Notamacropus eugenii: one gene and its partners. The protein of the gene in region 2 purifies or fractionates together with the protein of the main gene of each other region. This does not show direct contact. Links are inferred from orthologs where the notes say so. Each region holds a gene or a part of one and is shown on either strand. Other genes may lie near its edges. The genes, in order: DKC1, DDX21, C1QBP and CDK9.

Region 1 (6,854 bases), on a different chromosome or scaffold from region 2:
TGCTTGTTTGCCACTGCTTTGGCGATACAAGGAAAATCTCAGGATAACAAACTCCACTTGACCAAATTACAACTTGTTTTGTCATTTGGAGAGCACTTTCCTAGGTGCTGTGTGGCCAGGAGTCCAAGGGCTATGAGCCTAATGTCAGACAAGCGTTAGTCCTCCCCCTCCCCCTCCCTGCTGTGTTAAGGGTATTGTGTAGAGTAAACAGGTATGTTTGGCAATGTTTCAGGTGCACAGAGATGAGAATCACCACAGGGTAATTGCTGCTCAGTGAGAAGCACAAGAGTCATGAAGCTCTCACTGCACACAGCTCCCTCTCTCCCTCTCTTCCTGAAGTAGTAACAGCAGATAAACAGGTACATTTACTGAGCAACTGACCCCCAATCAGGGATTGGAGAAAAAATGTCGTACCTGCTGGTTAAGCAGAATTCCTTGCCCACCATATTAGTTCAGGTGTCAAGTCATAGGCAGTCTGCATGGACATACTTCTGTTATAAAGCCTTGTCATGCCCTTTGCCATATAATAGGATTTTATCTGCAAATTGCCCCAGACAGTACTAAAGCAAACCCCCCCACACCCCCCAAACAGGAAGGATTATATTACTTCCAATATGTTACTTATTTTAAGAGTTTTAATATAAGTGGGCAGAAGGTTTGAACCCAAGGTAATGAAAAGTCACTACTTGGCAAAACAGCTTACCTGATATAGTCTGTAATTTCTCTCTTGAGAGGGTTAGATCCAGAAGGAAGGGGAGTATAGTGGGTTGTCCTTACATTTAGTTTATCGAAGTTCTAAAAAGTGATGACAGGACACAAATCAAACTCAATTAGCAAGCAAATTCTCAATTTTTTGACTTACCCTTTTCTAAGAGACCCAGAGTTAAGACCAACTGGTCCCACACATGGAAAATCCAATGAATCAACAAAACCACCAATCTACACCAGGAACCAATTCACCAAAATCATTTTTCTGAGCTATCACACTGCAGATAGCAGAAGGCATGGGCCTCTCGAATGGACTTCTTTTGGTTTGAGAACTTTATATTTCTGCTTGAGCACTGTGGGATTTACTAAATATTTAAGTTTCAAAATTCTAATATTCTTACCTACAGTACTGATTCCCAAAATGAAATATAAGGAATCAGAGTATTTAAATGAAATGCTTTAAATAACAGATACAACTTGTGCTATGTGATTCTGATGGGGGGGAAGGGAGACTGTATATTGTCAAAATTATGCTGCCCCCCACTGAGGATACAGATATGGATACTGCCTCTTTGGGCAGGCTTTCTGAACAACTCAGCACAAGGAACAAAATGCTTCTTTAGCTAATAGGTGAGAAGTCTTATAGCATAAAGAACAATTCAATTAGACAATACACATCTTCAAGTTTTTGTTTAAATAACAAAACAAAAATCTGCCTGTATAATTTTATAGAAGACACGAAAAACTGGCAACAGATCTATAAACAGGACTTTTTTTGTAAAATGCATAAACCACATTTACCATGCACTAGAATTTACAGGTATACAGAACTCAGTTTACAAAATGAACTAGTTGAGATTGTGCACCAAAACTGATTTAATCAATTAAACCCCAACCAATATAAAATCACAAGGCAATTATTTGATGTATAACGTTTACATATTCCTTACCTTTAGCAGTAAGGGCCACTGAGATGTGTCCAACTGAATTACTTTAGATTCAGGTTTGATGAAGAATTCCCCTTCATGTTGTAGATCCTAAGGCAGGATGAAAAAGTCCAATGACCTCAATTTCATAGATTACAGGCATTTCCTCTAAGTGCAGGCAGGCCAGAAAATACAAAGCCTAACAACTGATCCTAACCCTTTCGGATGATTGTGGCTCCCAAAAAACGGTACACAGAACCAAGCAGAAACACAAAGAAACAAAATATGAAAAACACTGGCCAGTTGTGTTCCAATACTCCAGAGAAAAGGCAGAAAGGACTGCAGAGTGCATGTGGCAAACAGTACTTGGTGAATACTGTCTTGGAATCCTGAGAGCAGGCTAGAGGAGTGACTCCCAGAATACAAATGTGGGTGCTCTCCTAGCTCAAAAGAGCACACCATCCGGGTTCTTTCTTTTCTAAACATGGCCCAATCCTACAGTTCCCAAGAAGAAATGGGGAATTACCAATACTGGCAAGGAAAAAGCATCGTGTACTCACAGCGACATCGTCTTCTCCCAACACTCTGCGCTCCTTTTTTTTCTTGTGCTTCTTGGATACAATGACAACTTAAAAAAAAAAACCAAAAGATGTCTGTGAAGTTGGGGCTCGTGGGTGCCCAGGCCCGTGATCAGGCTGCTTCTCCAGGACTCCCACACGTGCTTCCTTCCCCAGGGTCACCACGTGGCCCGTTCACAGGTTGGGCAGGGGCACGGGCATCGGCAGCAACCCCCGTCCGCGGCACCACCCGCAGCTAAGGGGCAGCTTCCGGGGGCTGCCAGGACATGCTGTGCCTCCCCTACCCCAACCTCGGGGGCCCGCACGCGCCCGCCCACTAGGAATAACGGTTAAAGCGCCCGGGCCGAGCCGCCCTCCGGGAGCGCCCCGGATCGAGTCGAGCCACCCTCCGGGAGCGCCCCGGGCCGGGCCGGGCCGAGCCGAGCCGAGCCGAGCCGCCCTCCCCGAGCGCCCCGGGTCGAGCCGAGCCGAGCCGCCGCACGCAGGCGGGGACCGCGCGCCAGGTTCGGGCCCTGCCCGGGCCAACGGCGCTCAGGCCCCGCACCCCCCGCGCGCTGGGCCCTGCGTGAGCCGCTCTCGCCGGACGCCGCGACGTACAGATCCGGGAGGCCGCAAAGGAGCGGAGGCCCTTTCTTACCTTCGCCGTCCGCCATGTTGGTGGCCACAACCAGGGGCCTCCGGCCCGCGTGCTCTAGCCCAGCGCAGAAGGGAACGACTGAAGGCAGCCCGCTTCCGTCCCGTGAGGCAGTGCGGTCCCAGAGCCGGCCTCCTTTAACGTCAGAGTGACGCGTAGCGTCCCAGGGCGCCCGTTGGCTGACCAGAGGCTGAGGGCGGTGCCCCGTAGCGGTCTTCGTGTGTCTGATTGGCTGCCAGAGCAGAGGCGGGCCCGCGGGGCGAGGGGCGCCGCGCCCGGGAGAGCGGATGGGCGGGGGGCGAGCGGAAGCGCGAACCGCCCCGGCCCTGCCCGGCCTAACCTGGTCCGCCGTTGTGACCCCGGCCTAGTCGCGTCGTGCCTCTGCGCCTCACTTTCCTCAGCTGTAAAATAACCGGCCTCGCCACTCGGCCCTCATTCTTATGAGCTGCGCCCACGCCCGGAAGGCCTGGCATCCGGCCCTTTCCCGTGCCAGCCTCTGGTTGCAGACCTCCAGGCTGGGTGGGCAGCGCCGTGTGACAGCCGTGCCCCTCCCCGTCCTGGCCGCTCTCGAGGACCCCACGGAGCCCACAGATGCTGCTGATCACAGCTGCAACCCACCCCTTCCCCCAAATTGGTTGGCATTCGCCTTTTTTAAGGCCCTTGCTATATGCTTGTGTTGGGGATATAAAGGCAAACCCCCAGATCTGGCTTATTCTCAAGATCTTAGTTTCTCCCAAATTCCGAAAGGAAACAAATGACGAAATACAAAAGAATTGGAGGGGGAGAGAGAGCACTTTCCGTTGAGGTGGGGGAAAATCAAAGAAAGAGCCACAGAGGATGCGGCACTTGAACTGTGCCTTGATGTCCCCCAGATGAAGCTGTTACAGTTCAGGCATGGGGTATACATATGTATGGCCTGAATGATGAAGTCAGGGAGGTGGTACATTATAGGAAACAACCAAGACTACAGTTGAGCTAAAATGGGAATAATGGGAAAGACTAGAAAAGATAGCTTGGAGCCAGATTATGGAGGACCTTAAAAGCCACACCAAGGGGTTTGAATTTTGGCCTAGAGGCAACAGCAAGGCATTGAAGAATTTGGAACTGCTGTATGATGGGTCTCAGGAAGATTATTCAGGGAGTTGTTGGAAAGATGGATTTGAGTGAGAAGAGACCAGCTAAAAGACTGTTGTGGCATGTGGTTCAAGAAAGAGGTGAGGGCCTGGACTCGGGTTTGGGGCATGTGAGTGAAGCAAAGGAGACAAACGCAAGAGATGAGGGGAAGCTAGAATTGACAGGACTTCATCACAGCTTAGAAATTGAGGGGAAGAGGGTATGAGAGAGATCTAGAAGAATCAAAGATAACTATAAAATTTGGAACTTAATTAAATGGAAAGACAATGAACGGAAATGGGGAGATATCTATTAGGGAGTTGGAAATACACCACTGAAATTCAGGGGAGATATGAGATCTAGATATATGGATTTTGGAGGCAACTATGTAGAGATGATCAAGTCTTCAAGAGACAGTATAGAGAGAAAAGAGAAGCAGGCCCAGGACAGAGCCTGGTAGGGAGGCTAGACACAGTATTAATGACACTTAGAATTAAATGAATATACATTGTAAGGAAAAAGTTGATGGGGGTATAGAAATTAACTGACAAGAAGGGCAAAGGTACAGGAGTAAAGAGACAAAGATCACTAAGGTCATGAGTGGGTGGGTGGGTGAAGGTGCTTTCTAGGTAAGAAACTTTTAGCCAAGACCAATCAATTTAATTCCTCCTTAGTTTTGACCCCAGAAATCCTCCAGCAGAAGCAATAACTTCTGAGACTGTCCCTTCTGAGACAGGTTACATGGCACTTACATGGTATCCCTCTTCAGAAGCACTGGGAATTTTGGGACTTACACCTGGCATAAGGAACCAAACATCTGAATTCTAGACTTCACTGTTCAAAGGCCAGCCTTCTCTCTGTTAAATGAGAACTCCCTCACCTTTATCACTCCAAGAATAAACAAGTATTATCTAACTCCATTTTACAGAGAAACAGTGTGACTCTCACACACTAGCAAGTTAAAGTATCAGGTTTCCTGATTCTAAGCCCTCCAGGCTTTCCACCATACCATGTGGCTGGCCTCCCATGCTTCTACAGAGAACAGCAACTTAGTATTCAAAATGTTGCTCATTCTTCTTTGGATTGACTTCAGAGTAACATTTCCTGTATGTATCACCTTCAAGCAAAGCCCTCAAATCATTTCAGCAAATATTTACAAAGCCCTAGCACCTGCTACTGTTGTTGTGGTGGTGGTGGTGGTGGTGGTGTTTGTCCTTCGTTCTCAAAGAGGACCATGACATCAAGATGATGACATGACTTGCAGTTGACTTTGATTTGAGTGAGAGAGGGTTGTGCAAGGTCACCAACCTCACTTTCTTCTCCTGAGCCATCTGGGTCCAGTGGCCTGATAGTCATCAGGATGACTGGAGATGGCCCAGAATGCACTGGGAGACCCTGGCCCTTTCAGGCTAAGGTTCCTATAGCATTCTCACTTTGAGTAAGATACACCCATTCAATGAATAGGCTTCTTTAAGTAGCTGCTCAAGGGATGGCCCTTGATCATCAAAAATTAAAAAAAAAAAATCAAACTGGGAGAAGACCTTCAGGGTTCCTGGGTAAAAGAGAAACAATTATTATTTAGCAGAAACAATTACATGTGCCAAGAACTCAAGCAAGCCCTACATCTTATTATTATTATTATTATTATTATTATTATTATTATTATTATTATTATTATTAAAGCTTCAGGGTACCCTCTTGGAACTGTTAGTTCTTAGAACTGAATCCCTGAAACTGTATCTTCTTCTCCCATGCTTGAACTCTATACATTTTCACAGTATAACAAGGAAACTGTTCTGGTGTGTGTGTGTATATGCGTGTATGAGAGAGAGAGAGAGAGAGAGAGAGAGAGAGAAAGAGAGAGAGAGAGAGAGAGAGAGAGAGAGAGAGAGAGAGAGAGAGAGAGTGTGTGTGTGAGAGAGAGAGAGAGAGAGAGTGTGAGAGAGAGAGATCTTACAAGTCCACTTCGTCTTCCATTCCCCAACTAATCCAGTTCCCATGGCTCCAGCCTTTTCTTTCTCTGCCCTGTCTTTTGTCTCTTTTTAAATCCCTAGTGCTTAGCACCATAGTAGGAAGAGCTTGCTAAATGTTCTTTGATTGATCAGTTGATTGTTGAAGGGTTGAGGATGCCTTTGAGGTTATGAACCTGGGTTCTGAAAGGATAATAGAGAAATAAAGATGTTAGGAGGAATGGTAAGCTGAAGGGGAGAAATGAGTTCTTTTCTGGACATGTTTGATATGCTTATGGTCCAATAAGATGTAACAAGCAATTGGTAATATGGGCCTATTTCTTGGAAAATGAAAGAGAGCTGAATGTGTAGATTTGGGAGTCAGCTACAGAGATGATAGTTGGACCCATGGGAGCTGATGAAATCACTGAGAGTATAGCTAGCTGATATAAGAGAAGAGGGGCCCAGGATGGAGATCTAGTGCACATCTACATATAGATCAGATTCCAGCAAAGGAATGTGAGGAGACTAGAGGTCTGTATCACAAAAACCCAGGGCAGAGAGAATATTCAGGAGGAGAGGGCTAGTCCAGAGACAGGAAAAAGGATGAGGCCTAAGAGAAGGCCCTTGGATATAGTAACTAAGAGATTGTTGATGAAGCCAAGAGAACAGTTTCTGTGCAGGGGTGATAATAGAAGCCAGATTGGAAAAGGTAGAAAAATGAGTGGGAGGTAAAGATGTGGAGGTAGTCACTGAAGACCACTTTTTCTAAGAGTTTGGCTGTGAAAGAGAAAAGATTCCTGGAGGGGATAGTAGGACCAAATGAAAGTTTGGTTTGGTTTGGTTTTGTCTTAAAGAATAGGGGAGATCTGGCTATGCTCCTGGGAGGTAAGAAAGGAGCCAGTGAATAAACAGATATCGTGGATTAAAGAGAGGGAGTGGCAAA
Region 2 (7,630 bases):
CAATTAAAAAACAAACCAACCAACAACCTCCACTGTCCTGCTTTGTGAGAATGCCCCTCACCTGCTCAGCCTCACTGTCACTGTCTTCACTGGATGACTCCTCTGAATCAGAATCAGATGCCCTCTTGGAGTGGGGCAGTCCATTCCCCACTGATGCCTTCTGCAACTTTGACTTTTTCTCTCCTGTGTCTCCATTTATTGGTCCCTCCTTCTTCTTGGCTTTCTTGAGTTTCTCAGAAAGCTCTTTGCTCTTTTTGGTCTTAGAGCAGACCTCACTGCTAGAGGCATCCTCCTTCTCCTTCAGCCTTTTGGGCTCCTCCACCCTTTTGGGCTCCTCCACAGACCCCTCCTTGTTCTTTCTGAACTTCTTGGGTTTAGGGGAAGCATCTTCCTCTTCCTCTTCCTCTAGGAGGTGCTCTTTCTTCTTGGCCTTTTTGGACTTGGGAGAAATGACTTCTTCTGGGAGCGCCTCCCTTTTCATCTTCTTGGGCTTAGGGGAATAAAGTTCCTCAGTCTCTACCTTGACCTTCTTTTCTGGTTTCTCATTTTTTGATTTTTCTTTTTTATCTTTCTGCTAAATTCAAAGATAATTCAAAGAGACACACGTTAGGGCCAAAATCTACTTTTTTTTAAACTAACAAATATCTTCATTTCTTTATTCACAACTACTAAACATAGCAAAGAAAATTAACTGCATCTGGCCATCTCATTGAAATCCTAGAAACCATCTGGATCCATTTCAACTTTCAAATTTTACAAATGAGGAAAATGAAGATGGGAGAAGTTATGTCACTTCCCCACAGCCACAAAATTTAAATTCAGCCTGGTACCCAAACTCCAAACTCAGGGACATCCCTGCTGAACCATGCTGCCCTCCCCTCCTTTACTAATTCTTTTTTGCTATTTGATCATTTCAGTCATGTCTGACTCTCTGGGACCCCATTTGGGGTTTTCCTGGCAAAGATCCTAGAGTGGCTTGTCATTTCCTTCTTCAGTTCGTTTTACAGTTGAGGAAACTGAAGCAAATAGGGTGATGTGACTTAACTAGGACCACACAGCTAATAAGTATCTGAGGTCACATTTGAGCTCAAGTCTTCCTAAATCCAGGCCCAGCGCTCTACCCACTTTACCACCTCTTGTCCAACCTTTTTCTAGCTACGGTTTTGAGGGACAATAAAGAAAAGAATGGGAAAGAAAGCCCACCCAGAGCATTTCACTATTCTTTACCAGACTCAATTCAGGAGAATGCTGGCAAATGAAACAAAATCTATCAATCAGTCCCATTTTTCTACCACCTTGTTGCGATTTGGAGATTATATTTCAGTCAAGAGCTGCAGGTAAATCAAGACTGTCCCTTTTATCTGTTTTAGTTTCTGAGTGATAATGTCCCAGAGGACAGTGAACTTAGCTGCTCAAAGATACACCACAAATGTTGAGTTTAGGAGGAAGAAAAGCCATTGACACTGGTAACTGATCTTGACAGAGATGGTTTCAATGGTGACAATTCGATGCCACAACATTGTTTTATACCAAAAGAGGTATATAATACCTCCCACCTCCCCCCAAACTACTTTACCTGGATACCTGAGGGGTAAACCAGGTAATGTACAGAAAATGCTGTGTACTCTTGACTAGAGCAAAACCACAGAATTCTAAATTATTAGAAGAAATCAAACTTTCCTTATCCTTGGCAGTTCATAAATTATGCAGAAAAATGGATCCAACACGGGTCCTAAATTTCTAACAGTCTAATTGTAGATGTGAAGCTTTCTGTAACATATTCTACCCCTAGCTCATGCTATCCTTTCAGTACTAGTCACTGTTCCTGGGATGTCAATGGCACACCACGTGTCCTAACCCCAAGTAACTTGAAACATTGTATTAAGCGAATGTTATTTCACAGAAGTTAAAATTCTATAATAAGAAATGGACAATCATTTACACAATAATTGTGATCTCTGAGCACATCTGCAGGCCAAAAAAGTCATGCCATTATTTCAAGCGGGTATAACACAATGTCTTTACTTAACTCACCTTCTAAGGGAAATCCAGCAGTTCCTAAACAAAGTTCCCAGCTCCCCTTTATCTGTGGTCTTTCCCATTACAATTAAAATCTCTGAAGGGACCTCTTTATTTTCCTATATTTGTATCCCCAGCGCACAGTACAATGTCTGGAGCATAAGAAGGCTTAGTAAGTGCTCTATGTATTGATAATTAGGCATAAGTCTTTCCCCTTTCTCCCGGCATACATACACAAGTCCATAATAAACGCTGTGGGCCTGGTTGGCTGCCGGGGCACAGCAAGCTCGCTGGGGCAGCAGAGGGGAGCCCGCCTCTCAGCCCCTCCCTAGACCCCACCCCAGGCCCTAGGACGGCCGCCCATTGGGCAGCGGCTCCAAGCCGGCACGATGACGAGCGCATCCTCTCACCCCGGGCAGACCTAGCACGTGCAGGCAGGGACTGGGTGTCGGGTCCGGCCCGAATCGCCCAGAGGGGGTTAGGGGCTGGGGTCCGGGGTCCTCCGCCCGGCTGGGGAGGGGAATTTTAACAAGAACAGCGATAACAGCCGGCGCTTTGGCCCGCGGGGGCCTCACTCACCCCACACCCCCGGCCCCCCGCCGCCACCGGAGACCGCTTAGGCACAGTTTCCTCCACTGGGCCACGGCCCACCCGTGACCCTGTGATCCGGGATCTTAGGCCCCCTCGCCTCCCCGGACCTCACAGTCCTCACGTGCAAAGCGCAGTTGGGGGGTGGGTGCTATGGATAAAGTGAGGTTCAGAGGCATCAGGAGCCCCGGAGCGCCGAGCCCGGCCAGGGCTGCACGTGGAGCCGGGGCCAGGAGGCTCTCCCATACCTCCCTCCCCCTGCCCCAGTCCGAACCTCAAAGCCCCCGCCCGAACCTTTTGTTTGTGCTTCCGCGTCTGCTCCGTCGCCTCCATGGACGCCTCCGACTCGACTTCGGCCTCTAACAGAAGCTTACCGGGCATAATCCTCTGGCCGCGAGCTCACTCCACAACCGACAACCGCGTGGAAAGGAAGCAGAGAGCCGGCAACGTCACTTCCGCAGAGGCCGGAAGCAGGAAGCAGGAAGCAGGCGCGCACTCCCGGCGACCACGTGAGGGCTCCGGGCCTCCGGAAGTGCCAGAGGAGGAGCCGGGATCGGCGCTCGCGCGGGAGCCCTGGGTTCTGCCCAGTCCTCTCCTCAGCTCTTACGGTCCGGGGACGGGGTATGGTCAGCGTCGGCCCCCTCGACCCTCTCCCCCGGCCCGGTCTTTCCAGCGGCCAATAGACGCCTAAAAAACAGGACTCGAAAACACGGTGCAAACCGCGGGCGCATTAGATACCCAGGGGCCGTTTAGGCTCCGCCCAGGGCTGGAGCTAGCGGAGGGGTGGGGCCTGGGGGCGGGGGCCGCTGCGGGAGCACGGTGCTGCCCCGGGGAAGGAGGCCGGGGTGTCTGGACCACCCAGGTCACTCCCTGAAGTCGCGTGCGGTCCGCAGGGGAAGGGGACCCCGGGGACTGGTCCAGCTCCCCACTTTATAGGAGAGGAGACTGAGGCCGAGCGGCGCGCGTGGCGGGGAGAGCCCCGAGAGGCTGGGCTCGGACGAGGTGAGCCCCCCGAGCTTCCCTGCCGCTGCTCTGGGGGGCTGGCGAGGCTGAAGGGGACACGAATGTGCGTGTGGCCCCGTGCCGCCCTCCTGTCCTTCCGACGCCAAACCCAGGGTTAACGAGGACACATCGCTATCCACAAACCCCCCCCCCCCCCCATTGTTGCTCAGTCGTGTCTCACCCGGTTTTCTTAGCAGAGATACTGGAGCCTTTGCCATTTCCTTCTCCAGCTCATTTCGCAGATGAGGAAACTGAGGCCGTGACTTGGCCGGAGTCACACAGCTAGTCATTCAGATTTGAACCCAGGAAGATCGGGATCCAGCACTCTATCATGCCCACTCCTATTACCTACCTCTGGGATAAGTTACAAGCTCCTTACCAGACATTTCAGGCCTTCATTTTGGTGGAGAGACCCAGGTTCAAATCATGGCCGTGCCACTTAGTAACTCTCACCCACTGGAATCTCAGTTTCCTCCAGGGGACTGCATGAGATGACTTTGAAAGTCCTTTCTATCTCACTCCATGATGCCATAATCAAGCTTCAGCCTGATGGGACAGCAGAGGGGACACAAACTATTATACTCCATCCCCACCTCCACCTTGGAGCAGTTTTATTTTCAAACAGCAATAAAAGTTGACCCACTCTTCCTCAAAAACCAGTTGTTAGCTGTCTCTCTTCTCAGATGTTCCGGGTCTCCCCCTATGCCTTTTTACTCCTAATTTGAAATAGCCATTCCCCCAGTGGAGGTAAACTCCTAGATTACATCCCATATATTATTCTCATAGCCCCAGAGTGCTAACCTGAAGAGCAGGTGCTTTTAGGATTGTTGAATCAGCTAGATTAGACCATCTCTAAGGTCCCTTTCTGCTCTAACTTTAAGAACTGTCTATTCCATATCTTTGTGTCTGGTACCCCTGGAACAATAGCAGTGGCTCTTCCAATCAATCAGACAATTAATATTTATTAAGCACATACTATGTGCCAGATACTGTGCTTGTGCTAAGTAAGCACTGAGGGTAGAAAAAGAGGCAACAGTCGCTGCTATGGAGGAGCTTAAAATCTGATGGGGGAAACAAGCAAACACATATGTACAAAGCGAGCTATACACAGGACAAACAGGAACCAAGAGAGGGAAGGCACCAGGATTAAAAGGGGCTGGGGATGGTTTCTTGTAGAAGATGGGATTTTAGTTGAGACTTGAAGGAAACCACAGAGGTCAGCAGTCAGAGTGGAGGAGGGAGAGCACTCCAAGTATGGGGGACAGCCAAAGAAAACAGCAGGAACCAAGAGAAGGAGTCTCTTATTCCTGAAAAGACAGGAAGTCAGTGTCACTGGTCCCAAACACACACATCATGTGTGTGAATACAAGAATACATGTCTGGAAATATAGGAGGGGGCTAGGTTATGAAGGGCTTTGAATGCCAACTAGAGCATTTTGCACTGGCTTCTGGAGATGACTAAAAGCCACTGGGGTTTACTAAGTAGGGGGTGTGCTTTTAGTAAAATTAGTTTGGTGACCAGACTGGAGGATGCATTGAAATGAGGAGAGACTTGATTGAGTCAGACCCACCAGCAGGCTAATTTTTTCTCATCCACGTTCATGGACCTTTTGGGGGGTGAACCCCAAGTTAAGACTTCCTCATAAACCCTAAGCCACATAACCATTCAAAAATCTATTTCTCATATGTAAAAGTAAGATATGCGTAGGACCCACCCTGCACAACAAAAATGAGCTGTTACATCTATGTAAATGACACCCCCCCCAAATCTCTAACTGATCTCTTCTGAACTCTAACTGAATGCCTCCTCAATTAGAACTGAAAAAGTTCTTTAGAGGTCATGTGATAGAACCTACCCTCTTTTTGTAGGTGAGGTGATATGATTTACCTCAGTCACTCATTAAGAAAATGATTCTATTACCCCTAACATTTGAATGTTCAAAGGTTTTCCTATGCTTTCAGATACTGATTGGGTTCCCAGTGGAGTGTTGGTGTAGAAGGACAAAATTTTCTTGATGCTAGGAGACCTGGGTAAGAGCTTAGCAGGAAGGAAAACTTAACTTTAAAAACTTACCCAGCCCTGCTAATCACAGGCATTAATGTTTTCTTGGAAAGAGCAAGAGTCCCCAGAAAGAATGTGGAAGTTTCTTTTGCTTATCATATACTGACTGTAGATTTTTGTCTACAGAGCACATACCTGTCACAAAGATGTTGTCTTTATGGAAAGTTTGCACCTTATGACAAGAAGGGGATAAGAAATGAGGAAAACCAGGAGTAATAATGTACCAATGTTGGATATTCATTTGGGAAAATTCTTCTCATATTTTGGTTGTAGCATATACACATACCTAGCTGTTATCTCTCTCTGTATATTTATCATATATATGTATAAATTTACATGTTTAATATCCTCCCACACCTAGATTTATTTATATTCTTTTGATTTGGGTAACTTCACACCCCCTGCAACCCAAGAAAATATTTCCCCTGTGACTTGAGTTTTACTTACAATGGCATCTCCTGCTTTGCCAAAAGAAAACAATACTCAAACACTGCTGCTGCAAAAATAAAAAAATGATGCTTGGATGAGTCATTAACCTCTGAAAGTCGGTTTGTTTTCAAAATTGGTGAAATAACTTTGCTTTTCTCACAAGATTATAATGAAGAAAGTGAGTTGCCAATCTTACTATTACAATACTAATATTATTACTATTGCAAGTTGTTATTTTTTATTATTACTTATTTATTATTACTATTATCAGCTTACCCCGAGAATCCATCCCTCTCTCCTCTCCGTGGACCCACTTTGACTCCTGGAAATTCTTTCCATCTTTCACGTCCCAGTCCGGCAGTCTTTCCATCTTCCCAGCCCTCAAATACTTTTTAGTATCTTGCCTTTCCTTCCATTTTTTCATGACATTCTTGTTCGAACAGTAACTGGCTGTTTGCCCTTACACAAGTAATTTGTCTTTGAGAGAATTTTTACACCTACAAACTGAAGACTAGAAAATTACAGCTCTGATATCTCACAACTCTATTTTATGTCACAGCTCTTTTTGCCTGTTTATCCCCTACTGAACTCTTAAGCTCCTTTAAAAGCATATAATAGCGTCTTCCACCTAATCTCTTCATTTATTTCCTTGACCTGAGCACAGTGCCCAGGCACTGAAGGAGCAATGGCTAACCACGACTTCACAGTTCACCTCTGTGGCACTTTCAGGGCAAAAGGAAATTGTGAGTACTGTATCTACACAAAGGCCACCTTGACTCTGAATGGGACAGGCTCTTCTGTTGCATTTGTTTATCAGATAATGAATCATACCCAACAATCCACACAAGGCTATGGAGACTCAACTGTACTACGATCCTAGAGTTTTACCAATATGCCAGTTCCAGGCAGAAGAGTTAAAAATAACCCATGAAATACTCTAGGGGCCTAAGAGTCTGGGAGAGATGAATGCATGAAAAGTGGGCTGGTCATTTTACAAGACGAAGAGAGGACAGCTGGTGAATCCTGGATTGGTGCCCTTCAGTGTGGAGGATACAGACAACTCACACAAGGAGAGAAGGAACAGGGTTCACTCTCCCATTTCCACCTGCAGCTCTGCTTGGCTTGAACTCTACTGAACGTGATGCCCTACACTGAGGACAGCCTGGTGGCACCCACCCCTTCCAGCTTCTTTCTGTATTGTCTTCCATCAGATTGTAAACTCACTGAGGGCAGGTACTGCAGGTAGGTGGTACAGTGCATATAGCACCAGCTTAGAATCAATGACCCGATTTCGAGTTTGACCTTAGACACTTACTAGCTGTGACCCTGGAAAGTCACTTAATCTGCCTACTTCCTCATCTACAAAATAGCGATAATATAGCACGTAAAGTTGGTGTGAGAATCAAATAATTGTTAAGTGTTCTGGCACACAGTTTATCGAATTGCATGGAGGATGAGTTATCATCTGCCTTCCTGGAAGAAATGCCTACCACTGAGAGCACAGATATACCAAAGGACTTGGTCCCTTTA
Region 3 (7,351 bases), on a different chromosome or scaffold from region 2:
TGACCCAGGAGGCAGCATGACCTTCCTAGGCTGGATGTCAGGAGGAAACTCCTTGAAAAATCCCATGGGATGGAAGAAAGGCAGTCCAGCAAGATTAGCGAAGGGGTAGTAGCAGCAGACTCCCCTTCGGAACAGGCCATCCTCTTCTCTCACACCCTCTGTTAGACTGTGACCTGAAAGAGAAAGGTCAGGCAGATTTCAGGGTGGCTTCAGCCAAATGTAAGCAAGGGAGAGGCTGGCGCCACCCCCACCCCATTCTGCATCATCTTTTAGAGGTCATTGACCACGGTCTGCCCTCATGTTATCAGCCTGAGGGTGCTTAGAATTCATGGAGAGCAGCTGGGGTCCCTTACAGTCATGTGTATCCTCTGACCTTCCTCTGACCCTCCAGGGGTGAAGGAAGGTAGGGGTGGGGATTACCAGTTAACCAGACCTGACTCCTTGAGCCTCCTCCCACTCACTGGAGGCTACTTCCTATGTGGAGTTGGAAGAAGGCTTGCCCTTGTCCACATTCCCACTCCTCCACAGGCCAGGCTCATGGCAGAGCCTTGGCATTCCAGATGCAGGGCTGGCAGAGCTCAGGCAGGCGTCCACCACCTCTAGCACCTGCCTCCTCCTTCCGTCCATGTCTGCAGCCTCAGCGCATTGAGGGCGAGCTCTTTAGACCACTTTTCCTTCTCAGCAGGATCGGTTCTTTTGGCATCTTGAGAATTTCAGTCTTGGTAGTTTCCCAGATGGACATTCTCTAGGGAATTTTAGTTGGTTCTTGGCTGAAATGATTAGGGTCTCTACCCCTCACCTGCACTCCCAGTAGGGCCTGTCTCCTATTAGCACAATGTGGGGAGGAACGTCTCCTGCTCCCCAGGGTCACTCCCTGGGATAGCACCTTGCTCTTTAATGGATCATTTGGATGACAGATGCTGGCATGAGGAGGAAAAGGACCTAAGTTTCCCCTCTGTGCACCAGCCAGCTGGGGCTCAGCATCTTGGCCTGAACCTCAGTCGGATGGGGAGAATTAGGTCATCAAGAGTCATCTTTCTCCTCTTCTTCGACAGATGTCGATGCCAATCGAATCTTCACGGGCAGACACGGGGAACATTCGTCGATGCCTGGCGCATGGCCTTTTCATGAACACTGCCGAGCTTCAGTCTGATGGGACCTATGTAACCGTGGATACCCGCCAACCAGTATCCATCCACCCGTCCTCTGTGCTGTTCCATTGCAAACCAGCCTGCGTCACCTACAATGAGCTGCTGTCCACCAATAAGTGCTACATGAGGGACCTCTGCGTGGTCGATACAGACTGGCTCTATGATGCTGCGCCTGAGTACTTCCGCAGAAAGATGCGGGCCGCCCGCAGCTAAGCCTCGTGGCTCAGGCCGACGTTTGGCCAGGATGGGAGAGGCAACTGGCGGCCTCAGAGCTTGGGGCAGAAAGGGAAGGTCAGAATTCCATGCCTGTTATGGGATGGCTTTGGAAACTGCTGCAAAGGCTTGAGCTGTGCTCATTACTGGCTAGTGGGCAGGAATCTGCCACGGTTGGCTAGTTTTTATCCATATACAGTTTTTCAATTGAAAATGCAATAAATTGACTTTTGTAAAATTTTTAGGAAGGAGATGTTGCCGCTGCATGGCCTCATTCATTTAGCTTGGGCTCCTCTGGGGGCCTTGCCAAAGTTGGTGCCAAGAGAGGTGTGAGGTGATGGGGGTGGGGTGGGTGGAGAGGCCTTGGGGTCATGGCTCCAAGCCCCTCCCTGCCAGGAGCTGTGGAGCCTGAGGAAATTCTTCTGTCTGCTCATTTCTGGCTGCTGGTGGTAACAGGTGGCAAAGTGCTTTATATCTACCCACCTTCTCATCTCATTTAAGCCTGGTCTAGGTTCTGTCATTGTTCCCATTTCTGTGCTGTGGAAATGGAGGCTGGCGGAGTTGATGTGACTTTGGCAGGGATTGAGGCAGGTCTTGGACTCAGCATTTCCTCAACCACAGTCCAAAACACTTTCCATGCCACCACCCAGCTTCTGCTGCTAAGTGATTCTTACACAGGTGAGCTTTCGAATATTTGGAGGCAGCAGCCATACCCTAGCAGACCTGGGTGCACACCCCTGCTTTCACCAGGCCTTTCCCCAGTCTCCTGGGTCCCTGGCAGCTCTGTATAATTGGAGTGAAGTACTCACCCATACGTAGCCCTGTGCCAGGCTTCAGGACAAAGCTCATTGTGTGAGAGCCCTGTGCCCATGCAGGAGAAGCTGCAGAATTCAGATCAAACCAGGTCATGCTTTCATGGATCTCAGAGGGCGGTTGTTCATTTGCACATTTTCTTGTCTCTGCATTAGCTCTTAGAGATCTTCCCAGCCTTCCCTACCAGTCACCTGCATCATTTCTTACAGTACACAGGACTGTCCAAGTAGCCAGTTTGGGGGGTGTCTTTGGACTTCAAATGTTCCCCACTTCCGTCCATCCTCCCCTCAGTCACTAAAATGGTTTTCCTAAAGCTCAGTGCAGGCTCTCTGCCCCCATAACCCCCTCCCCCTCCAATAGACTCCAGGGGCTCCCTAGTGCTTCTAGGATCAAACACAAAGAACCCTACATTATCTGCCCTTCCCCCTCTTCCAGTCTTATTATACCTTACTTCCCAAATTGGACTTTTGGATTCAGTGATCCCAGCTTCCTGTCTGTTTCACTAACAAGGCCCTCCATATGTCTGGCATTTTCTCTGGCTACCCTCCACCCCCACGTCTGGAATGTTCTGTCTCTTGCCTTCCTTTGAGCCCCAGCTAGAATCCCCTTTTCTACAAGAAGCCTTTCTGGGCCATCCTTAATCTTTGTGCCTTTCCATTACTGATTATCTCAATCACCACATGTATTATATATTATGGTGTGTGGGTGTGTGTGTAAAATTAGGGCAGCTAAGTGGCACAGTGGATTAGAAGTATCTGGCCCCAGACACTAGCTATATGACCCTGCACAATTGCCTCAGTTTTCTCATCTGTAAAATGAGCTGGAGAAGGAAATGGCAAACCTTTCCAGTATGTTTGCCAAGAAGATCCCACCTTCCTTCCCTTGCCCATCGAGAAAGTACAAAGCAAACAAAAAGAACCGTTACCAATAGGTCAAGCAAGCCAGTCTGTGCTGACCATGTCTAAAAACTGTCCATATGTTGAGGTTCAGGGGTGCTGGGGACCCTGAAATACCGACATGCCAGGTCCTGCCCAAATGAATTCAACTCAAGCTTTCTTAAAGCCAAAGAAAAAGTTTATTAAAGATTTGCCATACTGGGTTGACTCAAGGAGCCTAAGCTTTTGTAACTCTCCCAGATAGAATCTCAGACAGAGTCTGAGGTGGATTGAATCTGAGCACCTTCAAGGAATCGGGATGGAATTTAAATACAGAAAAAGACTGAGAAGCATCCAGGTGTTGGCAGGGATGGTCTTGGTAGATCAAACCTAGGAGAGAATCCTGATGGGAGTGGTCAGAAGCCTGGGGAATGGGGTTTTAATAGGATCAAGGGTGGGGAGTGCAACAGAGACCAGTGCACAGCGATAATGAAAAGCCCAAGGGCTTCCTGAGACTGCTGGAACAAATGGGAAGATTAGATTTGAATAAGAAAGGCCAGATTAAGTGGGAACATTCAAGAAGGCTCCCAGAGTCTGAACCCATCACATTTACACTGAGCCCAGCATTAGTGTCTCCAGTGGTGGGCAGAGACTTTCCTCCCGAGGCCTCTGGAATTGTGAGAGCTTCGGTAGTGAGAATTTTCAGGGTCCTTGCTAGCTACGGATAATGCAGGTACACTGTCATTCATTTAAGCAGAATGGGATACCTCCAATCCGTGTGGGATGGAGGTGTAGGTCTCACAACTGCCGAGATGGACACGAGTGTATGTAGGATCTCTCCTTCCGAGGTACCAATCCGGGCAGGCTGGATACAATCTAAGCTCAGTCCCAGGTAGCTGGGATTCTAGGTACCCCAGGCTAGGCGCTCCCGGTCCCTTCCTTAGCCTGAAGCGCAGGCAGTTCCCACAAGTGCATGTTGGATACTTTGTAACCTTAGCCTGAAGCGCAGGCATTTCCGGCTCGTACATATTGGATATTATGTACACATGCAAGTTGGATACAATGTAACCTTAACCTGCAGCGAAGTCAGTTCGGTCACATGCAAGTTAGATACAACGTAACCTGGGCGCTCGCGGTCAGTGACAGAGAATGGGGATGCCTCTGGAGGAAACTGGCCTGAAATGGAGCCCCGCCTCCTTCGGAGGAGGGTCGGACAAAAGGATGGTGAAAACAATGAGGTTAAACAGGAAGGCAGAAAACAGGCGGGGAAAGTGCGCTCACGTCTGGGCGTGTCCAGAGAATACGCGGTCTCGAGCCATTCGGGGAAACTCCGGGCCCTCCTCGCTCTAGAGTCGGGTGACTCCAGTAGTGGCGTCGCAACCAGTCAATCATCGTGCAGTCCTTGAGTACCTTCACTGGTGCTATCACCATCTCCCGACGAGGGGCGCTGTGACCCTCCGAGGTGGCGCACGAACTTCCGGAACGGGACGATCTTGGGCCTTTCCGGCCAGCGCATTTCCCGGCGTGCTCCGCACTCTCTGCTGTCTTTCCGGTCTCCTACGGCGCTCCCACGCCTCTCCGCGTGTCTCGGTCATGGCCCCGCTGCTGCTACCGCTGCTGCTGCGCCCTGCGGCCCGGGCCCTGCGTCCCGCCGCCCTCCCGACGCTGCGCCCCCCCATGGCCGCCGCCACCCGCGCCTTCGGAGGCCTCCTGGGGGGAGGAATCGCCGGCAGGCCTGGGCCCGCGCGCCCCCGACTCCTGCAGCCGCTCCGGAATGCCCCTGGCCTATGCTCGTGCACGTGCGGGGGGCTCCACACCGAGGGTGAGCGCGCGGCCGGGACCTGGGGAGAGCGGGGGAGGGGCTCCCACGCTGACCCCATGGGGTGCGCACGTGGATCCGCACACCTTCCCAAAGGCGGTCAAGTCGCTTTCGGGGCGCCGATTATTCGGATTGGCGAGGGCTGGGTTTGGAATTGGGGCTCCTGCCCGGGTAGTTACGGAGGGAGCAGGCCCCACGTGGCTCTGACCCTAACCCCCTGACCTATTTTCAAGGTGACCCTTGGTGTGGGGAGTGCTTGTAGCTGCCTCGCCTTCCCACTGCCAGGCCATCCTGGCTCAGTCTGCCCTTCTGTCCTCTCCCGATCCGACACTCTCTCTGTCAAGACTCATCTGGCTTCTGGCTTCTGTCGACTTTGCTAAGTCTGTGGTTTCCAACTCTAACCACGCTGAATGATCATCAGAGCCCAGGACGATCCACAGCGCATTGGGGTGCCCAGTCCAGCGGGCAATTCTGCCTTTGGAATTGGCGCCCCAAGAGTTTACCCACATGCTGGCAGCTCCCACAGACAATGGATGCTGCTACTGCCTTTAACAGGCGGGGAGGGTAGGTGTGGTGGCAGTGGAGCTAAGGCTGCTTGGAGAGGGGATTAAGAGAAATAAGTGTTGAGAAAAAACCACTTCATAGGCGGAGAGTGGGTTGGTGGCCATATTTGCCTAATGAATACTAGGACCCCGTGGGGCAGCTAGGTGGTGCAGTGGATAGAGCATCAGTGCAGGAGTCAGGAGGACCTGAGTTCAAATCTCACCTCAGACACTTGACACTCACTAGCTGTGTGACCTTGGGCAAGTCACTTAACCCCAATTTGCCTCCTCCTGGGTCATCTCCAGTCATCCTGAGGAATATCAGGTCACTGGATTCAGATGGGTCTGGAGGAGAAGTGAGGCTGGTGACCTGCACAGCCCTCCCTCACTCAAAACAAAGTCAAGAGCAAGTCGTGTCGTTATTTCTCTGCTGGCGTGGTCTTCTTCCACAATGAAGGATGATCACACCCTAGGACCCCATACATTATATTTTTATTTTGGTTTTTGTTTCATTTGTTACATTGGTCAAGTTGTTTAGTCTCTGCCCACAGAGATATTTCTGTAGAGGATTAGAGATTCTTTCAGTTCAGAGCTACTGGATTAATGTGAGATTTTGTGCTTGGCCCCAGGGTAGTTGATGGCTATGGCAGAGAGGGAATAGGGTAGGAAGAACATTATCGCAAACCTCCTATGTGCTAGGCACTGTGCACCTTATAAATATTCTCTCACTCTTGAGCCTCTTGAGGGCCTTGGGAGGTAAAGGCTATTCCCCATTTTTCCAGAAGTGGAAGGTGGCATCCCTCGTGGGTGGTCTTCAAGCAGAAGCTGGTGCCATCAAGTTACTGGGCTGCCTTGTGATACTCTGCACCCTCCCCATAGCATCTCTGTTCTCAGGGGAACCCACTGGACCTAAGATTTCATCAGTGTAGAAGATGAAGGAATTAGCGGCACCATTGCATGTGGCACCTCATCCATAACTTAGCAGGGGCAAAATGATTAGGGCTGGTCTCTCTAGATTGCCCCTTATTTAGACACTGGGACATCTGACCCAAAATTGCCCAACAAAACAAATAGACCATCGGACTCTAACCCTAAATGGACCAGGTTCCCCTTAGTGTGCCTGTTTGGGTAGGGTGGACAGAGGGAGATTTGTCCCAGGTCCTCTGTTTAATCAGGGCAGACTTGGCAGAGACGGAATTTTCAGGGTGTCTTAAATGAGGCTTCTGCCTAAATGTAATTGCTGGGCCTTGACTGTGGCCCCCTGACCTCTCTGGATCTGGCTTTCCTCTACAATGAGTGTTTTGGCTTCAGTTGCCCCTGCCTTCTGTCCCCTCTGAGCAGCACCATCTCTGTGGCAAGTGAGCCACAGCATCAGGATCCAGTGAGTCACTCTTTGCTCAGTCCACAACTTAAGGTTGTGGAATGGGGCCTAGTGCTACCATAAGTGCACACAACTGTCCAGGGGTTGTGTTAACACAAACTACTCAGGAAAGATTGGCAAATTCACTGTGAACACTGGAAGTGGTCTAGCAGGTGCTGAGGGTCAGCTGTCATCTCCAAACAGATTTCACCTCGGTGGGAGACCAAGAGTGGACATTATAGATGCTGTGTCTCCCCCGAACAAAGTCAGAGGGAAGTGGATGGAGGATGTCGTATTTCACAACTGTGGAGATAACTTGGCAGTCTCAAATTGAGAAAAATATGAATGATTTCCCCAGTCCAGGTAGCAAGATTCCTAAGAAAAGCTAGACCGACAACAGTATCAGTGCACTTAACGTCTCCTGCTTCTGTCAGCTGGCACCCATTGGACAAAAGTCCAGAGAAGTTGATCATTTCCTCCTGCAGTGTGACTTGCCAAAATATTAGTACATGAATCCCTTTATCTGCACTGGACTCTTTGGGTCTCTTTCCCATGCCTCCCTTTTGTCCCATGGTTTA
Region 4 (6,872 bases), about 220 Mb from region 2:
AGACTTCACTGCAAGCCAAGTGATGGCACGTTTGTTTACCCAGGCTCTTTTTCTGCCCAGCACCCTCCTCCCAGAATTTATCAGAAATGGCAATTACCCTTTATCCCAGGTTCTTACATCAATACTAGAGTTGGAAAAAGCTTGGAAGTTATTTACTCTAAAAACCTCTCACTATACAGATAAGGAAACTGAATGGGGGGGGGAGAGGAAAGTATGTGTGCCCAAGATCACATTATAAATTAGTGGTCTGAATCCCAAGCCCTTCAGCTTGCCACCAAACCATACCCTTACTTTAATTGAAAAATACAAACAAAAGCCTGTCTGCAAAAAGATTCACCTTCAGATCTACTCCCATCTTGAAAGTCCCTTACTTTCCAACCTTTCCAGCGCCTCCTTTGTTCAGCTCCTCCCCCGCAAACTGAAGCCCCTTCACCGTCTCTGGGGATTTCCCCTACCTGCCTCTTATCTCTCTACGACCTGAACCTCCTTACCTCCAAAGCGCTTCTGGCCAGGCTGCCCTAACCTCCAGGGTTCCCGGCAGACTCACCCCTGGGGCCGGACCTCAAGTCCTCCAGCCTCCCTTTGTCGGACAGCCTCGAGGCCCCAGCCCCAAGAGCCCCCCTCAGCCTCGAGATCCCCGCCACAAGGGCTCCGCCTCCAGCCCCAGGCTCTAGAGTCAGGCTGTTAACTTTCCAGACTCGGGTCCCCTTCCCAGCGGGCGGTCGCCCCTCGGCCTCCTGGCCTCGGACCCGCGGCTTCGCTCAGGCCTCGCCCTTAACCCTCCCCAGCGTCCCGCGGGCTGTCCCGTTCTGGTCCCGGCCCCGGCCCCCCGGCCCGGCCGGCCCCTGAGGGTCCCTTTCGGTCTGAGGCCTCGGGAGGCCCCCGGTACCCCCCTCCCTGGCCCGGCCAGGCCAGTCCCGGCGCTCACCCGAAGGTGCCCTGGCCGATCTTGGCCAGCTTCTCGTACTTGGACACTTCGTCGCAGAAGGGGCATTCCACCGTGTCGTACTGCTTGGCCATGGCGGCCTCGCCGGTGCCTCCCGCCGCCCCGCTGGCGGCCCCCGCTGCCCCCGGCCCGGGTCCCGCTGCAGCTGCCGCCGCCGCCGCCGCCGCCGCTGCTACCGCCGCCGCCGCCGCCGCGCCCCCCACGCTCCAGCCCCCTCCTCGGCCCCGCCACTTCCGCCTCCCGGGCCACTTCCGGCCCCGAGGTGCCGGCCCCGCCTCTTCCGCCCTGCGGCCGCCGCCGGGACCCCTGGGACTTGTAGTTCCCGGGAGGACGGGGGCTGCTGGGGCTGTAGAGCCGCCACCGCCGCCAACGCCGCCACCGCCGCCGCCAACACTACCAACACCTCCGGGGCCGGGAAGGCGGGGCCCCGGGATGGGGGCGGGGGCGCGGGGCGGCCCGTCCCGTTGCATTGGCCCGGCAGCTAGCCCGCGGAGCTGCTCCGGAGCGGATCCCGGGCGAGCCGCAGTCTCCTCCTCCTCCTTCTCGGCTCCGGCTTCTCCGACGCCGCCGCCGCCGCGGGGCTGGGGGCGGGGAGGGGAGGGCGGGGGGAGCCGCCCCCGGGAACCGGAGCGAGAGCCGGGCCAGGGGACGCTCGCTCCTCTCCTCCTCCTCTCCCAGGCCCGGGCTGGGGCAGGAAGGGAAGGAGAGACTGAGACAGGAGGAGGAGAGGACACCGAGACGGGGTGGGGGCGATGAGGGGAGCCTGGAGGGGAGGGGCTGGGGGCGCGTTATAAAGGGGGGGGTAGGGAGGTGCCGCCCGTTCTCGCCCGCCTACTCCGCGGGCGCACCTGCCGCGACTCCGCCCCGGACCCGGACTCGGACCCGCCCGCTGGGGTGGGGGGAGTGGGGGTTCACGGTACGTCACCAGCCCCAGCCGCGGCCCCTCCCCCCTGGGGGGTCCCGTCCCCACCTCCCCTCGCCCCCGTAAGTGCCGGGGAGAGGAAAGCGAAGAGTGACGTGTGGGCCCAGGAGCCCGGACGCCTGGGAGTCTGCAATCGAGCCCTCGGTTCAGTGCGTCCCGTTTGCCGCCCGGCCGTGCCTCAGTTTCCCTTTCTGCACCCTAGGCCAGGGCACCAGGGGCGCCCCCGGGTCTTAGCCGTCGTGGGGACCGCGAGCAAGCGGAGCCCTTCCCTTCCCGCTCCCCCCACCCCTCGGGCTCCGAGTTGGGAGAACGGCCGAGAGGCGCACGGAGGAGGCGCGGAGTGAGCGGGGGCCGAGCCGGGGGGCGGGAGCCGCCTTCCCCCCGCCGGCCCCCCGGTTCCCTTGGTTGACATGGCAACCTATCGCCGCCAGGGGGAGCTGCGAGACCAGAGGAGCGGAAGGAGGGCGGGATCGGCGGGGGAGGCCTGTTGGGGGCCGGTGGGCAGAGCCCTGGGGGTTGGGGGGTTCTTTCCTTCTTCCCTCGGGCCTCAAAGACCCGGGAGAGCCGAGGGCCAGCTCGCCCTCCTCCTTCTCTGGGTGCATGGGGAGCGGAGGGAGACACGCTCTGCCTGGGCCGCCTCAGTTTCCCCCAGGGCAGGGCGTTCACTTCGCAAACTCACCATGTCCAAAACTGACCTCCTCACTGTCCTTCCAAACGGACTCAGCCGTCAGACTTGGCCGTCCAGGTCACATCGTTCGGGGGGACGAGCTCCTCGGGCCGGACCTAGGCTGGGGACGGTTGGCATTAGCAACAATGAATGCCGCGGAGACCTGCGCTTTCCCCACGTGTGCGCCGCTGTGGGGGGCACCTCCTGCTGGGAAAGCTCCCTCCGGGGCACTGGCTGGCTCAGCCACCAACTCGGCCCTGGCCGGAGAGCCGGGAGGGAGGGCTGGAGCCGAAACGCCTGCTCAGTACCTCAGCCACCTCCACCACACAGTGTAAACCAAGTCTCCCGTGTCAGGGGACGGTGTGTGCCCTCCGCTGGCCAAGACCTTGATCCCTCACCCGAGGTGACTCCCCTGGGAGCCCTTCCATAAACTGTCTACACTTGTTCTTCCTACTGCTTCTGATCATGAATTACAAGAAACAATAGCTCACGTTTGTCTACAAACAGCTTCCCACCACTCCGTGAAGTCAGTGGTGCATGCACTAAACCCCCACTTTGCAGGTGAGGAAAGGTCTCAGGAGCAAAGGGGCTTGCCTATGCTCGTGCAGTTAGTAGGGGAAGACACTAAGCCTGGAACCCAGGCGTGTCTGGTCATCAAAGCATGCCCAGTCTCCTTTGAAGTAGCCTTTTGATTCCTTCTTCCCTCCCTAATCTCCTACTCCCACCAGCTCGGGCATTCCCTCTCCGCACCCTGATCTGGGGCTGTCATTCTGCTCTCCTGGCCTTTCAGAAAGAGTCAAGGAGATTAGCAAGGAACTCAAGCTTCCTGATCCCTAGCCATCTTTGCTTTTCACCTAGATTATTACAACAATCTCCTTCCTGGCCTTCCTCTCTATTCTCACTCTGTCCTGTTCTTACAAAGGCTATTAGAATAACCTCTTTGAAACTATGTCATTTCCCTGTTGGAGAACACAAAATGGCTTCCACAACTGCTTCCAGCATTAAATCCCAAGTCCTTAGCCTAGTGCTCTCTGCCATACCTCTCCAACCTTGCCTCCAATATTGCTTCACCCCATCTCTCCAACCCTCCGCTACCCTCCATGAATTCTCCAAGAGGACTGGTTTCCCCACTATGCCTGGGGAACACCTCTAGAACTTTCCTGTTTCTTTGCCCCCCCCCTTTTTATTTGCTGGCAGCTTCTCTCCTACTTGGAGAGCAGAACCTGGCACATCCTACAGAGGCAATGAAATTCAATTCAAGGAGCATTTATTAAGTACTTACTATGTTCTAGGCGCTGGGAAAGGATAGAGTGGGGGCACAGATAAAAATGAAAGACTCACCTTCCAAGAACTTACACTTTTAAGGGGAGCAGAAAACATATAAATAGAAACTTAAATACAAAATAGATGCAAAATCATTCCTAGGTAGAGGGCACTAGCACCTGGGGGTGGGGGTGGAGGGTCAGTGGGCTTCCTGTAGGAGGTGGCAGTTGAGCTGAGCTTTGAAAAGAGCTAGGGATTCTATGAAGAATGAGTGAGGAGAGAGGGCATTCCAGGCATAGGGGACCACCTGGACAGACACAGAAGCAGGAGATGAAATATTGTGGATGGAAAATTGGAAGCAAATTGGTTTTGCTAAATGCTTCAGTGTGTGAAGGAGGGTGAGGTCTAATAAGCCTGGAAGGAAAACTGTGCTTTAAAAGGTAAGTAGAGGCATTTGTACTTTATAACAGGAGCATTGAGGAATCACTGGAATGTCTTGAGGAAGGGAATGACACAGACCTATGTTTTAATAATATCAGTTTGGTAGTTTATGGGGAATGGAAGGGAGGCTGGATATGGGGATTCAGAGGCTATTGCAATAAGCCAAGGGAAAAGTGATAGAGGCTTAAAGGAAGATGAAGGCAAATGTATGGAGAGAATGCCATGGATTTGAGAGATGTCACAGAGGTGGACTAGACAAGACTTACCAATTTGCTTGCATATGGGGCGGGGAGGAGGGAAGTGAGGATAAAGGAGAACAAGGAGTGAAAGACGATTGAATAGGAGAACCCAGCTAATGGAAAGAATAGTGATGCCCTCAACAAAAACAAAGGAAGAGGGGAGGATTTTGGAGGAAAGACAGTTTTGTTTTGGATATGTCAAGTTTGAGATGCCTTACAGGATATCCAGCTGGAGATGTGCATTGGATAGTTGGTGATGTGGAGACTGGAGTAGATAAAACCTGTAAATTGTACCCTGTATCCTATTGTCCACCAAAGGCTTTCTACCTTCACTCTAATATATGGGACTTAACTAGTCACAAAATAAGTTGCTAAAAATCTCAGAATTAGAAGAGTAGAATTTTCTTCCATCAAAAATGTGTGTGGAACTCAAGCCCCTAGGGAGTGGTGCAAGGGTGCTCTAGATACCCTGTGCTTGCTGTGTCTAAAGATACTCCAAGAATGGCTGTGTCAAAGCGTTGTCCTGGCAAGACGCATGACAAGGTGTCAGTAGGTGCAGAACTATATATCCAGAGAAGATCTCTTAAGTGGTAGGAGAAAGATAATAGAGAAGGATCATAGATGTAGAGCTGGAAGGGGCATTAGGAATCATTTAGTACTACCCCTTCATTTGTTTTACAGAAGCTCAGGTGGAGTGACTGTCTCAAGGCCACACCCCTCCAGGTTGACAGAGTCAGAGTTCAAACCTAGGTCCAGGGAAAACTCCAGATTTACCATCCTTTCCACAAAACATCATTGCCATTTCCTCTGTGGAGCTTGGAAGAGCCTAAACAGAGAAGACAAATAAATTGAGGAGAGGTGAGAAATCACAAGGAAATACAAGGTAGGATTCAAGAGGATGGACTTTTTAGGGTGTGAGCAGACACGATTTTGCCGTCTTTTGGCTTTTTGCCTTCCCCTGTTCAGAAGACAGACCAGCATGGAATAGGGCAGAGCAGGTCCTTGAGGGAAGAGAAGCCTTGTGTTCATGTGACTCTTCCCCTAAGCGACAAGGAAAGGCATCCTGAAGCAGAGGCATTTGGGAGTTGTGTGTGCTAGTCTGAAAGTGGTCTGAATCTTGAGACATCCTGAGAGTAACTACTTTCCCCACTCAAAAGATGGCCAAAAATGGGGCACTAAGAGATTTCCTGCAGAAGGACGTGGCAAATGCAGTCATGTGCTTGTCCGTATTACTCAAGAGAGTGGTCCATGGACAGTGTTTATGAATCCCAATATCCTGCATAGATGAGTTAAATGCGTTGTGTTATGTGTACCCTAAGCAGTGTAATACTGAAATCTAGCCTTATGGCCTGAGAAGGGAGGTTTTCTGGGCAAGACCTGCTGTAGGGCTTACCTTGTAGAAAACTCTAGGTTCGAAAGTTCCCAAGGTTGAGAATTTAGAGATCAGACCACCTACATACCTAGGAAGAAAAAAGAAGACCACTCATAAAGTTCCTGAGCGCTCTCCTACTTGGAGGTCCAATGGGAAGGGGGTTGACCCAAACTGTGCTTGCCTTCAAACCACAGAGTAACACTATGATTCTGGGAAGGACTCTGTGCCCCTCTGGGAAGGCTATGGGCCCTCAAGAAGGTTAAAGGGTAACCTTAATGGTGATTCCAAGGTCAGGTCCCTTCTGAGGGTAGTTGATGGGCTATGAGAATTCTTTATGTATTTCTCTGTTTATAGGTTCCTAGGAGGCCTTTGTGTTTTCTAACATTTTCTGAGGTTTTAGTCATCTATCAATCAAATGAGATAATATTTATAAAGTGCTTCATTTAATACCTTAATAGATACCTTAGTATAATACATAGTAGGTGCTATAAATGTTAGCGATTATTGCTATATATTGCTATTATATGTGTGTGTGTTTGTGTATACATACACATATACATGTGTGTATGTATCTACACATATGTATGTGTATATATATCCATGTATAAATATATAAGTGTATATCTATCCATCATCTATCTATCTATCTTATCTATCTATCTCTCTATCTATCTATATCTTAAGTGCCTGTACTGGAACTAGGGCCGCATTGCCCATATTTAGGGAAACCTAGACAGTAGCCAAAAATAAGCATATTTAGAGATTTTCTTAGACTAACTCTAGGTGGGCCTAACAAACCAAAGAAAGAAATTACCCTCTTGAATCAACCCCAAGACTCAAGAACTTTCTAGGGAGCCTAGTGTTGGGGACTGGGAATGGGAAGGGGGGGAGGGATGGGTCAGGGATGGGCCAAAGGTTATGTTACCAGTTCTTATTTCTACAGTGGTCTATGGATATTGTAATGGATAGTCCCTGAATTCTCTCTTAGGTCCAAATCTTGTGATCCAATGTCTACTCTCCAT

The links.
Region 1: the proteins of DDX21 (region 2) and DKC1 purify together in Homo sapiens (co-immunoprecipitation; 3 studies listed by BioGRID and IntAct, with this or other methods). This does not show direct contact. The link is inferred for Notamacropus eugenii from reciprocal best matches to the Homo sapiens genes DDX21 and DKC1.
Region 3: the proteins of DDX21 (region 2) and C1QBP purify together in Homo sapiens (co-immunoprecipitation; 3 studies listed by BioGRID and IntAct, with this or other methods). This does not show direct contact. The link is inferred for Notamacropus eugenii from reciprocal best matches to the Homo sapiens genes DDX21 and C1QBP.
Region 4: the proteins of DDX21 (region 2) and CDK9 purify together in Homo sapiens (affinity purification with mass spectrometry; 3 studies listed by BioGRID and IntAct, with this or other methods). This does not show direct contact. The link is inferred for Notamacropus eugenii from reciprocal best matches to the Homo sapiens genes DDX21 and CDK9.

Annotation. Positions count from the first base shown.
Region 1 is NC_092879.1:10,721,329-10,728,182, reverse strand, and holds the start of DKC1 (H/ACA ribonucleoprotein complex subunit DKC1), read right to left. Parts: upstream 3,006-6,854; 5' UTR 2,866-3,005; coding exon 2,850-2,865; intron 2,263-2,849; coding exon 2,195-2,262; intron 1,746-2,194; coding exon 1,659-1,745; intron 796-1,658; coding exon 704-795; intron 1-703.
Region 2 is NC_092872.1:260,118,602-260,126,231, forward strand, and holds the start of DDX21 (nucleolar RNA helicase 2), read right to left. Parts: upstream 3,018-7,630; 5' UTR 2,989-3,017; coding exon 2,902-2,988; intron 575-2,901; coding exon 62-574; intron 1-61.
Region 3 is NC_092877.1:389,110,078-389,117,428, forward strand, and holds the start of C1QBP (complement component 1 Q subcomponent-binding protein, mitochondrial), read left to right. Parts: upstream 1-4,343; 5' UTR 4,344-4,645; coding exon 4,646-4,874; intron 4,875-7,351. Other genes in the region: ATP-dependent RNA helicase DHX33, read left to right, coding at 1,056-1,364.
Region 4 is NC_092872.1:479,054,098-479,060,969, reverse strand, and holds the start of CDK9 (cyclin-dependent kinase 9), read right to left. Parts: upstream 3,002-6,872; 5' UTR 2,548-3,001; exon of another isoform or gene 1,917-2,547; intron 1,632-1,916; 5' UTR 1,417-1,631; coding exon 929-1,416; intron 9-928; coding exon 1-8. UniProt on the Homo sapiens protein: Protein kinase involved in the regulation of transcription.